Sus scrofa: one gene and its partners. The main gene of each other region encodes a partner of the protein of the gene in region 3 in a complex. Links are inferred from orthologs where the notes say so. Each region holds a gene or a part of one and is shown on either strand. Other genes may lie near its edges.

What was found. The genes of interacting proteins can lie anywhere in the genome.
Region 1: AKAP13 (region 3) and MAP3K20 share a complex: the UniProt entries of both Homo sapiens proteins name them as parts of the signaling complex. The link is inferred for Sus scrofa from reciprocal best matches to the Homo sapiens genes AKAP13 and MAP3K20.
Region 2: AKAP13 (region 3) and MAPK14 share a complex: the UniProt entries of both Homo sapiens proteins name them as parts of the signaling complex. The link is inferred for Sus scrofa from reciprocal best matches to the Homo sapiens genes AKAP13 and MAPK14.

The regions. Positions count from the first base shown.
Region 1 is NC_010457.5:79,373,436-79,376,555, reverse strand, and holds part of MAP3K20 (mitogen-activated protein kinase kinase kinase MLT), read right to left. Parts: intron 2,010-3,120; exon of another isoform or gene 1,847-2,009; intron 783-1,846; coding exon 85-782; 3' UTR 1-84. UniProt on the Homo sapiens protein: Stress-activated component of a protein kinase signal transduction cascade that promotes programmed cell death in response to various stress, such as ribosomal stress, osmotic shock and ionizing radiation.
Region 2 is NC_010449.5:31,850,321-31,854,186, reverse strand, and holds part of MAPK14 (mitogen-activated protein kinase 14), read right to left. Parts: intron 3,276-3,866; coding exon 3,196-3,275; intron 907-3,195; coding exon 828-906; intron 1-827. UniProt on the Homo sapiens protein: Serine/threonine kinase which acts as an essential component of the MAP kinase signal transduction pathway.
Region 3 is NC_010449.5:88,193,285-88,197,150, reverse strand, and holds part of AKAP13 (A-kinase anchor protein 13), read right to left. Parts: intron 3,301-3,866; coding exon 3,165-3,300; intron 2,085-3,164; coding exon 1,972-2,084; intron 1,383-1,971; coding exon 1,230-1,382; intron 646-1,229; coding exon 395-645; intron 1-394. UniProt on the Homo sapiens protein: Scaffold protein that plays an important role in assembling signaling complexes downstream of several types of G protein-coupled receptors.

The sequences.
Region 1 (3,120 bases), on a different chromosome or scaffold from region 3:
TCGAAATCCATTACATTAAAACACAAACGAACACCAAAACACCCCCGAAAACCCGGCTAAGAAAAACTCAACGGATTCGATTCATCAAAAGTTTCTCTTCCCACGGTAGGTTCCCCTGGGTCTTTCTCGGTTGGTCTTGGCCGGAGAGGGCCTGTGGGGTTTCTTGCGGTATTCCACCCGCGTCCAGCCCCCTTCGCTGACTTTGCTCTCCTCCTCACTGGCTCTCGACTCGGTGTCGAAGCGCAGGGGCATCCCCGGGATGGTCCTGGGCTGCTGGGAGTCATTGGGGCTCCTCTTGAGGTCGGGCGACGAGTGAGTGTTGAGGGCTGACTGAGACACCCTGTAGAATTTTCCAGAATATCTTTCTCTTGAAGGCGTGGAATGCTGACTTTTCCCCCCGTATCTTCCTCTGGGAGAAGAATTGAGTGATACGCTACCCCGATCATATTTGTTCCTGCTTCTACCTGAATATCGCCCCCTCTCCAAAGAGTTAGAATTCAGACTGGAAAAGCTGCTGTCCTTGGAGTTGAGGTGCAGAGAAGAGAAGTGTTTGGTCAGTGCGTACTGAGTGGGAGAGGAGCTTCTGGACTGGTTTATAGGTGTTATCTGTTGATACTTAATGGGCACCTGAGTCCGCCTCACAGCAGCAGCATAGGAGTCCGGGTCATGGAAGTAGGGAAAGAATTGTGACCCCAGGATGGGATTGCTCTGGGAGCGCTGTAAAGACGTGTTGGACGCAATCTGCCGCATCCTCAGAGTGTCTAACCACTGGCAGTCGGCACCTGCCGGAGAAACGGAAAGAAGCACCTTTCAAGCCATAGTGAAGCTGCATGCCCCATTCATAAGCCTGTCTCAGGATCATTCAAACCTATTTGGGAAGCCCTAAGCGTTACCATTCATTGAAATTCTAAGCTAGGTGTAAGGACATTTCCTTTACTATTATAAACACTTTTTTTTTTTTTTTTGTCTTTTTGCTATTTCTTTGGGCCGCTCCCGCAGCATATGGAGGTTCCCAGGCTAGGGGTCGAATCAGAGCTGTAGCCACTGGCCTACACCAGAGCCATAGTAACACGGGATCCGAGCCGCATCTGCGACCTACACCACAGCTCACAGCGGCAGTGCCAGATCCTTAACCCACTGAGCAAGGGCAGGGACCGAACCCGCAACCTCATGGTTCCTAGTCGGATTCGTTAACCACTGCGCCACGACGGGAACTCCTATAAATACTTTTTTAAAAAAAAATAAGGGCATTTACACATACTGAATTCATGCTATATGCTTGGCACTATTTCAAAGGCGTTTTTACTTACAGTCTCTCATTTAACCCTCCAAAAACCTTCTCAGGTAAATACTGATAATATTCTATAAATGGGGAGCCTGAACCTTGAGCGATCAGGTAACCGGACCCACAGACAGACATTCAGCTAATAATCCCACGTCCTTCAGCAACTAAATCCCATCTTCTTCCCATGTAGCCATGTGGTCACGTCTAGAAATTGCTGTTGAGGTCTCTTTGCATGGCAGGGGCATGTTTAGTAAACAAAAGGCTTTTTGCCAACCAGTACTTTTACATCTTCGAGAACCCTGAATGCAGATAAAAGAAACTGGGTTCTAAAGGTCAAGACAGCTACAGATTGTTTGGAAGAAAGGCGGTTCGTATCTCCAGTAAAGAAAAGCTCCTGAGGTTCAGGAAGGAGAAATGTTTTCTGCATGAAAAAAGAAGCTTCATGGCAAATAGGAAGACGTTATGGTTAAAGAAAATGGTGAAGGAACAAGAGCCATTTGGTAAGCCATTTCAGTGAATAAGCAAGTTCCTTACACCTAGAATCTTCTTTGTTTTTCCCAGGTCCTGAGCTGCCCACATGCTTGAGGCCCCCAGTGTCCTCCCTGAGCTACTGTGGCCCTGCTGGTGCAGATGGAGCTTCTGGAGAGGATCAGAGCACACTCACCTCCCTCTGCCAGCAAGCAGCCTCTCTCCCTGCTCTGCACAGGTGACTCGTGCCTCTCAGGTGAGGGACTCATCCAGATAAGGTGACCTCCTGTGTTCAGACACTCCTCACAGGTTTCATTCAGTCACCACATACCTTCTTTCCTTCACCTTGACCTCTCTGAACTCTCAGCTTCCAACAGAACCCTGATTTTGTTCAGTGTCCAACCCCCTCCACGGAGCTGTGTGCATCAGGGAAGCTGACCACATTCTGGCTCCAGGGCAGACTTTTTTTTTTAATATATGAGTTCACTCTGAGGCTTTGGGCCAAATTCTATTTATTTATTTATTTATTTAAATTACTCAAATGAACTTATCACATCTGTAGTTGTATAATGATCATAATGATCTAATTTCACAGGATTTCCAAGGCAGACTTTGATTAGTTCAAGCCAGACATAGTGATGGACAAGGTGCTCAGCTTTGGCCAAAGCCACCTGAAAGATAGCCTGCAGGGGGGTTCTAAGCAAGTCTTTCTCACTCGGAAACATGAGAACAGGGGAAGGGATTGACCTCTTATTTCCTGTGGGCATTATCGTATCTGTATGTGATGACTATGAACATAAGAGGAGCAAGGTCAAGGGCAAAGGCAACATCTTGAGGATGGCAGAGTGGAAAGAAGGGAAGGTCCATGTCTCCTCCTTAACGTGGTTGAGTAGCTTAACTGCACTTGGAGCCCACCTACCCCTGGACCTCTTGTGACTTCTTGTTATGGAAAACAATAAGTTTTGTGGTTTGTGGTTTAAGAACTTTTTTGTTTGCTTGTTTTCTCAATTTAATTTTTTTTTTTTTTTTTTGTCTGCACCTAATGAATGTGGAAGTTTCCAAGCCAGAGATCAAACCTGCACCACAGTGGTGACCTGTGCCACAGCTGCAGCAACGCTGGATCCTTAACCTGCTGTTCTTGACGGGAACTTCCTCATTTTTATTTTCGATTGCACTATGCTTGATTTACTATGTTGTGTTAGTTTCAGGTGTACAGCAAAGTGATTTAGTTATACCACATCCATTCTTTTTTAGATTCTTTCCCCATATAGGTTATTATAGAATATTGAGTAGAGTTCCCTGTGCTATAGTAGATCCTTGTTGATCATCTATTTTATACATAGTAGTGTGTATATGTTAATCCCAAA
Region 2 (3,866 bases), about 56 Mb from region 3:
TTATCACAGCATTGCCCCACTCCCATCAGAGGGAGATCTTGGTCTGATTTTTGTGTGTCTGCCATTAAACAGCACTGTCTACTGGCTTCCGCTAGAGTCAGGAATTACGGCCTCAGCAATGTCACTCTGTGGGACCAAAAGAAGTACACATCAGCCCCCAGTTTTAAGGAATAAAGCAACTCCTCTTATCAGCCAAGGCAGTACACGTCCTGCAGCTGCCACTGTCCTGCCCCTTTGCCAAAGATCCTGGAAGTGATGGTGGCAGGAATGCTATGGAGACATTCCTTACAGTCTTGGGTGGCAAACTACCTCCACAAGGAAGAGAGACTGGTTAAGTCTCTGAAGGGCAAAAGGAGAAGAGGACAAGGGAAGCAGGACCTAAAGCACTGGGAAGCTGTGGGCAGAGCAGGGACTGCAGGGAGCTCCTGGGCGGGTCTGCCAAACACCCTTGTGTTTCTGTTGTTTATATCCTCAGTGTGGACACCATAAAATGATGACAGCAGTGAAGGAGCTGCAGGCTTTCCTCCATACCCTTTTCTGTCTGTGTCCCTCAACCTTTTCTCCTGACATTTTCATGACTTTCTCTTTTGTCACTGAACCAGCCTATTTCCCCATCAAATTCTGTGATCATATAAATACATAAGCATGGCGTGAGATTAAAAACAAAACAAAACCTGACAATACAAACATGGATAACAGATGGCATTATTTACCACCTACCAGGTTTAATTAATGGTACTATATGTGGTCAAAAGGAAACCCTCTTCTTCAAATCCCTAGTTTATGTCATAACCAATATCCATGAGATGAGGATGTAGTCAACTTACCCAAGGGATTGGCACCAATAAATACATTTGCAAAGTTCATCTTCGGCATCTGGGTCAAAGATTGAATGTAGTTTCTTGCCTGCAAAACAGAGGGTTTTCAAAATGGCTTTGTTCAGTATTGCTACCACTCTCAGAGTCCTGGTCCTGTCAAGTGTTAACTGACAAAGGCCACTGGCTTCGGTGTTGAGGAATGTGTCTGCTAATCATTAAAGACTTTCGGAGTTCCCCATTGTGGCTCAGTGGAAGCAAACCTGACTAATATCCAGGAAGATACAGGTTCGATCCCTAGCCTCACTCACTGGGTCAAGGATCTGGTGTTGCCATGAGCTGGGTGTAGGTTGTAGACTCGGCTTGGATCCTGCATTGCTGTGGCTCTGGCGTAGGCTGGCGGCTACAGCTCTGATTCGACCCCTAGCCTGGGAACCTCCATATGCCACGAGGGCGGCCCTAGAAAAGGCAAAAACAAACAAACAAACAAACAAAACTTCTCTGAATCTATCTCTCTAAAAATTCCTGGTTTTTTTTTTTCTCTTCCAGCCGCACTCATGGCCTATGGAAGTTCCCAGGCCAGGGATCAAATCTGAACTGTATTTGTGACCTACGCCACAGCTGCAGAAATGCTGGATCCTTAACCAACTGTGCCAGGCTGGGGACTGAACTGGCAACACCACAGAGACAAGCCAGATCATTAACCACTGCGCCACAATGGAACTCCTAAAATTCCTTTTTTAACACAGCTCAACAGTAAGGGTATGTATGTATATATATTTATGTACATACGTATACACACACACACACAAGGTTAGAAAAAGCTCTAGCTGCTAAAATAACTTCACCTTCTTTTAAAAATTTATATATAATTTAAATTGACACAGCTGATTCATAATATTAGTTTCAGGTATAACAGTGATTCATTATTTGTACAGATTATATTCCATTTAGAGTTATTTTTAAAATATTGGCTACATTTCCTGCGCTGTATAAACTATCCTTGTAGTTTATACATGGTAGCTTGTAGCTCTTATTAGCTTCACCTCCTTAGTCACTGCATGCAGAGGGAGCAGGGGAAGCCCACTTTGAAAATCAGCTGAGAATCTTTCTGATTTGAAAAGAAAGCTTTAGGAGTTGAGTATCAACATGCCTGTAATCCCTTCCTACTTGAGGGTGCAGACAAGAGACGTAAGTGGTAAGAGAGACCCGTCTCATTCACAGAACAGCCTTCCCTCTAACAAGATAAATAAAGACTACTTGCATATAGCTGAAGTAGAAAGAAAGCTGCTAAGAAGGGCCTCTGCGTTGCCAACATGATCCCCCGTATGATTAAGGGCACTGTAGAAAGAAGTGCTCAATCATCTCTGATGATAAAACTAGAGTAAAGATTAAGTAGCTAAGCACTGTTTTTTCTTTTTTTTCTTTTTTTTTTTTTTTTGTTGTTTGTCTTTTTGCCATTTCTAGGGCTGCTCCTGAGGCATATGGAGGTTCCCAGGCAAGGGGTCTACACCAGAGGCCACAGCAATACGGGATCTGAGCCGCGTCTGCAACCTATACCACAGCTCACGGCAACGCCAGATCTTTAACCCACTGAGCAAGGTCAGGGATTGAACCTGCAACCTCATGGTTCCTAGCTGGATTCATTAACCACTGAGCCACAAAGGGAATTCCAGCACCGTTTGTTTTTTTTTGTTTGTTTGTTTTTTTAAAAGCACTTAACCCTAACTGTTCATATTTATTTTATATTATTTGTATATTTTCTTTTAAATATAGTACTTATTAGCATTAGATATTTTGTTTATCTATTTACTTTTGGCTGTGCCATTGACATGCATAAGTTACTGGGTCAGGGATTGAACCTGCACCACAGGAGCAACCCGAGCTGCTGCAGTGACCTCGCTGGATCCTTAACACAGTGTACCACAAGGGAACTCCAAGATTTTTTGTTTCCTGTTTTTGTTTTTAATAATGAACTCTTCTTTTGGTCATTAAAAAAACGAATGAACAGGAAAGCATACTAATGACCTTCAGTTAATACACCTCCAGCTGAAAACCTTAGATGGCAGCGTACCCTAACTGCAGGCACAGAACCTTAGGAAAACACAAACCTCCTGAGCACTAAATTCACAAAACCCCAATATAAAAGTAACATCATTTTCCATGTACCAGCCTACAAATTATATTCATAAGGACTGGATGACATTTTATCCCAAATGTCAATATCGGGCAATAGAATACAGGCAGTTACTGCCTTAGTAGCCCTCAAGGCACATGCAAGCATTCGGTGACATTAAAACTGTGCTGGTTATCCAGTGGCAATAAAGTGAGAAAGTGGCCTTCTCAATGAGATATCCTCGGATAGTCTATTTGCTCTCACCTCATGGCTTGGCATCCTGTTAATGAGATAAGCTGGGGGAGTTCCCGTCAGACGCATAATCTGCTGAAGCTGGTTAATATCTTAGATGCCGAGTCAAGGGCATTGTTAAACATCCAGTGTGAAAAATAATTTTCAACTCAAGTTTTTAAAAAGGCCAAAAAGCCGCCCCCCAAAGATAAAACCTACTCCCACCCATTCCACCCACCCCAGGCCAGCGCCTGAGGCTGCGTGTTAAAGCATGCTTCCATGAATGGCATGAGGGTTAGTGGGCATAGAGCCAGTGATGGGCCATGTGGAAAAGAGAAACTTCCTTTGGTTTTAGCGTCATCTTTGACATTCAGTATTTAGGCTCCCTGGAAAGAGACTGCCCCTCGATCCAGGATGCCAGCCAGAGAACTGTTTTTAAGTCCCAATGGCCAAAACCTGTTTGCTTGTAGGTTAAATGGAGATGACTTTGAGATAGATGGAGAATATTCTGACTTGACTTTGGACAAAATAAAATGTCCGAGATATACATTTAAGGTAGAGGTTAAATTTTTGTGTCACAGGTTCTGGTGATTCTCCAAAACACCACCCCTTCTAATCTAAGACCAGGGTGGCTGTGTGGGGTGATAAGCAACACCAAGTTTCAAAGACATTAGTAGTGATACATGTAAAATACATGCCACAAA
Region 3 (3,866 bases):
GTTGAACCATAATGGGAACTCCTCAGGTGGCTTTTAGATAAATGAGTTCCATTTGATTTGATGCAATAGGGAAAAGTTGGGACTATTTTGATTTCTTAAACTATATAGTATCTCTGATGTTGGTACAGCCTCTGAGGAAGAAAAATGGACTTATACTGGGTATCTACCCTGCATGCTGGGTGCTGTATATATACATTATCTTTTAACTTTTAAAATAGCATTAAAAGAGACAATCTACTGTCCTAAATAAAGAAAAGGGAACTGAGGATTAGCGAGACTGAAAAACTTGCCTCAGCTTACAGAGATCCTAAGCAGCAGAGCTGGGATGTGAATGCGCAGTTATGGGGCCCCCCAGTGCGTGAGAGAAGTACCCGAGATCCCACCTACTGCTCACCTGGTGCACAAGCACATCCCCAATCCTCTTGATGAGAAAGTTCTTTTCACTTTTATCCACCAGAGAGTCCTTTTTCCGCTCCAGGAGTCTCTGGAAGAACTGGCTGTGGATACTGATCAGCTCATCCAAACAGGGGAACAGCTTCTCCACCATCTGCTGCTCGAAGAGCAGGTCGGCCATCATGCCCCGGCTGTACACGTCGCTCATGATCTTGAGTGTGCGGAGGTGGTGGAACTCTGTCTGCAGCAGCTCTGGAGGAGGGACAAAGCTTACAGTCCAGAACGCTTTCTTCCTTGAGGATGCTCCTTCAGAGTGTGTCTGTTGCTACTGGGAACCCCATTTTGTCCTAAGGCTACTTAGAACCCAATTTAAACTTTAAAACTGGATCAACAGCTGTCTCCTCCCTGAAGTGTTTTCATTTGACTTCTCTATTTTTCATGGGACTTCACACTACTTTCTGACAGGCATTTTGGACTCTATCACTCTTAAATGCCAGTTTCCAAAGTGGTCTTCCTTGGATTCAAGACCTTTCATAATTTACTGTGTTCTTATTTCTCAGAAATGACTTGTTTAGTCTAGTTTCTACTGTAGCTGAGGAAGTAAACTGTACTGTCACAAGAGATCTTTTTCTAGGACTGTTGCATAAATGAGAACTCATGTTAAATAAGATGTTCAATAAAATTAAAGAAAAAATATCAAGTCTTTATACCTCAAAGTTTTAAAAGAAAATCTTAGGCTACATACTGGAAAATCAACTTTCCACAGCCCAATAAATCGCCTGATAAACAATGCAAATAATGCAAATCACATACTAGCAGAACAAATGAAGTCTCACCATAAATCACTTCTTGCCGTTTGACCACATCTTTCTTTTGCTGTTTCAGAAACTTGCTGTCCACAATTTGACTCCAGGACTCTGCTTCCAGCTGTTTGGCCTCAATCTCAAAGTCTCCCATTAGTTGTCCTTCGTTCATGTCTGTCCCTACTCCTCAAAATACCAAAAGATCAACATCAGAATTTTGGATCTGTGATCTCTCAAAAACCTATACTGAACTTTCCTCAGGGTGATAATTTCATGAGATGCAAACACTCTGCACTAACACAAGGATGAACCAATATTCTATTAGAAAAGAATGCCATTTTCTGTTTGGGCGTGACATACTTTATATTCAAGACTTTGGTTAAGGACCATAAATGGCACATAAATCAAACACAATTAAGACATGATTCCTATCGTGAAGTAGGAACTGCAAGGGTCCTGATGACTTTACTTGTTTGAACAGGCTTACAACTGTGCTGAGAGCTAGAACTCAAAGGGTACCAGAGTCTAGGTGAAGAAAAAGCAATTGTACCAGAGTCTGACCACATTAAAATCAACGACACACATTCTTCAGTGGAGAGCTATCTAACAGCTGGTTTACCAACTCTTTATAAGGCACTTCTTTACAGACAATTTAGAGAATCTTTACATGAGTAAGGAAGAGGCAGGAGTCATTCATTATTCTATTAGCACTTGCATTCTAGGTAATGGTACCGTGTCTCAGAGGCATGTGATACAGGCCATAACTTCCTCTTACCCTCATCAGTAAGGGACTCTGTTGACTCATTGACCTTGCTGATTTTATTTAGTGAGTCTGTTGAATGAGACAGGAATTTCCAGGTGTTTGATATGTTCTCATCATTGCCAACTCTGGGGACAAAAAAAAAAAGAAACACTGTCAAATACATTCTGATGAGCCATGGTTTGTGGCCTTAAATGAGGATCTTAAGACCTTACATTAGGCACCCAGTAAACGTTTGTGGTATGACACAAAACTAAGCCAGAAACATTTAGAACTAAATTTTATTTAAGGCCAACTTTTAAAAGTCATAATAAACAAATTTTGATAACATAACTTTGAAAAAAGGCCTTTGGATAATTACAAAACAAAGACAAAAACAATATAAAAATACCTGAAATTTTTTTTTGTTTGTTTTTAAAGGAGGAAGGAACATTAGCCAGCACAGAGGTTAGGAAATACAGCCAAAAGCAGATTTGCATCCTTCAGATGGGAATTTTCCTCCAGCTTAGGTTAAGAGAGCTGCAAGAAATGTTTTGAGTCCTACATTTGAGATGACTTCTTTGCTTGATGGGAAGGCAGGCATCTTACCCCAAACAGCCAACAACATCATAATCAGCCCTGTGCTAACCACAGACAGCCGAGGCCTGAATAGTCAGGGGTCACGGCAACTTCTATAGGGACCACAAAAGGAACTCAGTGCAAATGAGTGACTGGAAACTACTGTAATACCAGCCCGTCAGTCATTCCCATGACTTAGGAGTTAAGGACAGAAAACAGTAAAAAAAACAAAACTATGCCCCTCTTCCTGCCCAGGTTCATCCAACCAACAGAAAAATGAGACATCTTAAGATATAAATGGTTGCCAACTAAAAATTCAGAATTAAATCATCTTTTATCCTATTCCCACTTTTAACTTTGATCTAAAAAGCATCCTTCTAGAATGTAGTTTCTTTAAAAGCAGGGCTGATTATGAACAAAAAAGTGGGGGACAACTGGCCTGAAAATGATGTTTATAGGGGATCTTTGTTACAAAACGGTGATGATGGTGCATGAAAATGGAACCCTCATTCCACCATCTGTATCGCTTAGCTCTGCACCTCCTCATGAAGTTATGCATTTTTTTTCTAAAAAAAAAATCTCTTCATAGTATAATCACTATGCTCTTGTCACCTAGATGTCAACTGTGCTATCTTTACATCCCCGCATACCCAGCAATGTTCTGTATGGAGACACTCTTGGAGAGCGAGACACTCTGCTGGGACCGTCTATTAGCAAACACAGGGGCTGAAGTGGTTTCGTCGGCCAGAAGGACGGCAGACCGAGGGCGCTCCTTGGGCTGGGAGGCTGTAAAGGAAGAGAGGACATCAAGTGAAGATTCAGCTATCCGTGCCCACCAGTGCCAACTCCCCAGACAAACGCCAAAGAGAAGCAAACTGCTCTAAAAGAGACGTACCCTGGGAGTGTAATGGGTACGAAAACTCTCCTGAGGACAATCTGGCAAAAGCTACTGAAATCGTTAAATGCCTATCCCTTTTGATCCAGCAATTCCATTTTAGGATATGTTTACTCTGCCAAGCTTAAGTTGTTTATGTTTGAAATGACAAATGTCCAAAGTTATTCAATGCAAAGTTTGGTAAAAGCAAAAGATTGGAAATTATACAAACTGAGTATCAAAAGACGGTCAGTTAAGAAATTATGAGCTCCCATTGTGGCGTACTGGAAATGAATCCAACTAGGACCCATGAGATTGCGGGTTTGATCCCTGGCCTTGCTCAGTGGGTTAAGGATCCGGTGTTGCCGTGAGCTGTGGTGTAGGTTGCAGACAAGGCTCAGATCCTGCATTGCTGTGGCTGTGGCGCAGGCCAGCACCTACAGCTCTGATTTCACCCGTAGCCTGGGAACCTCCATAT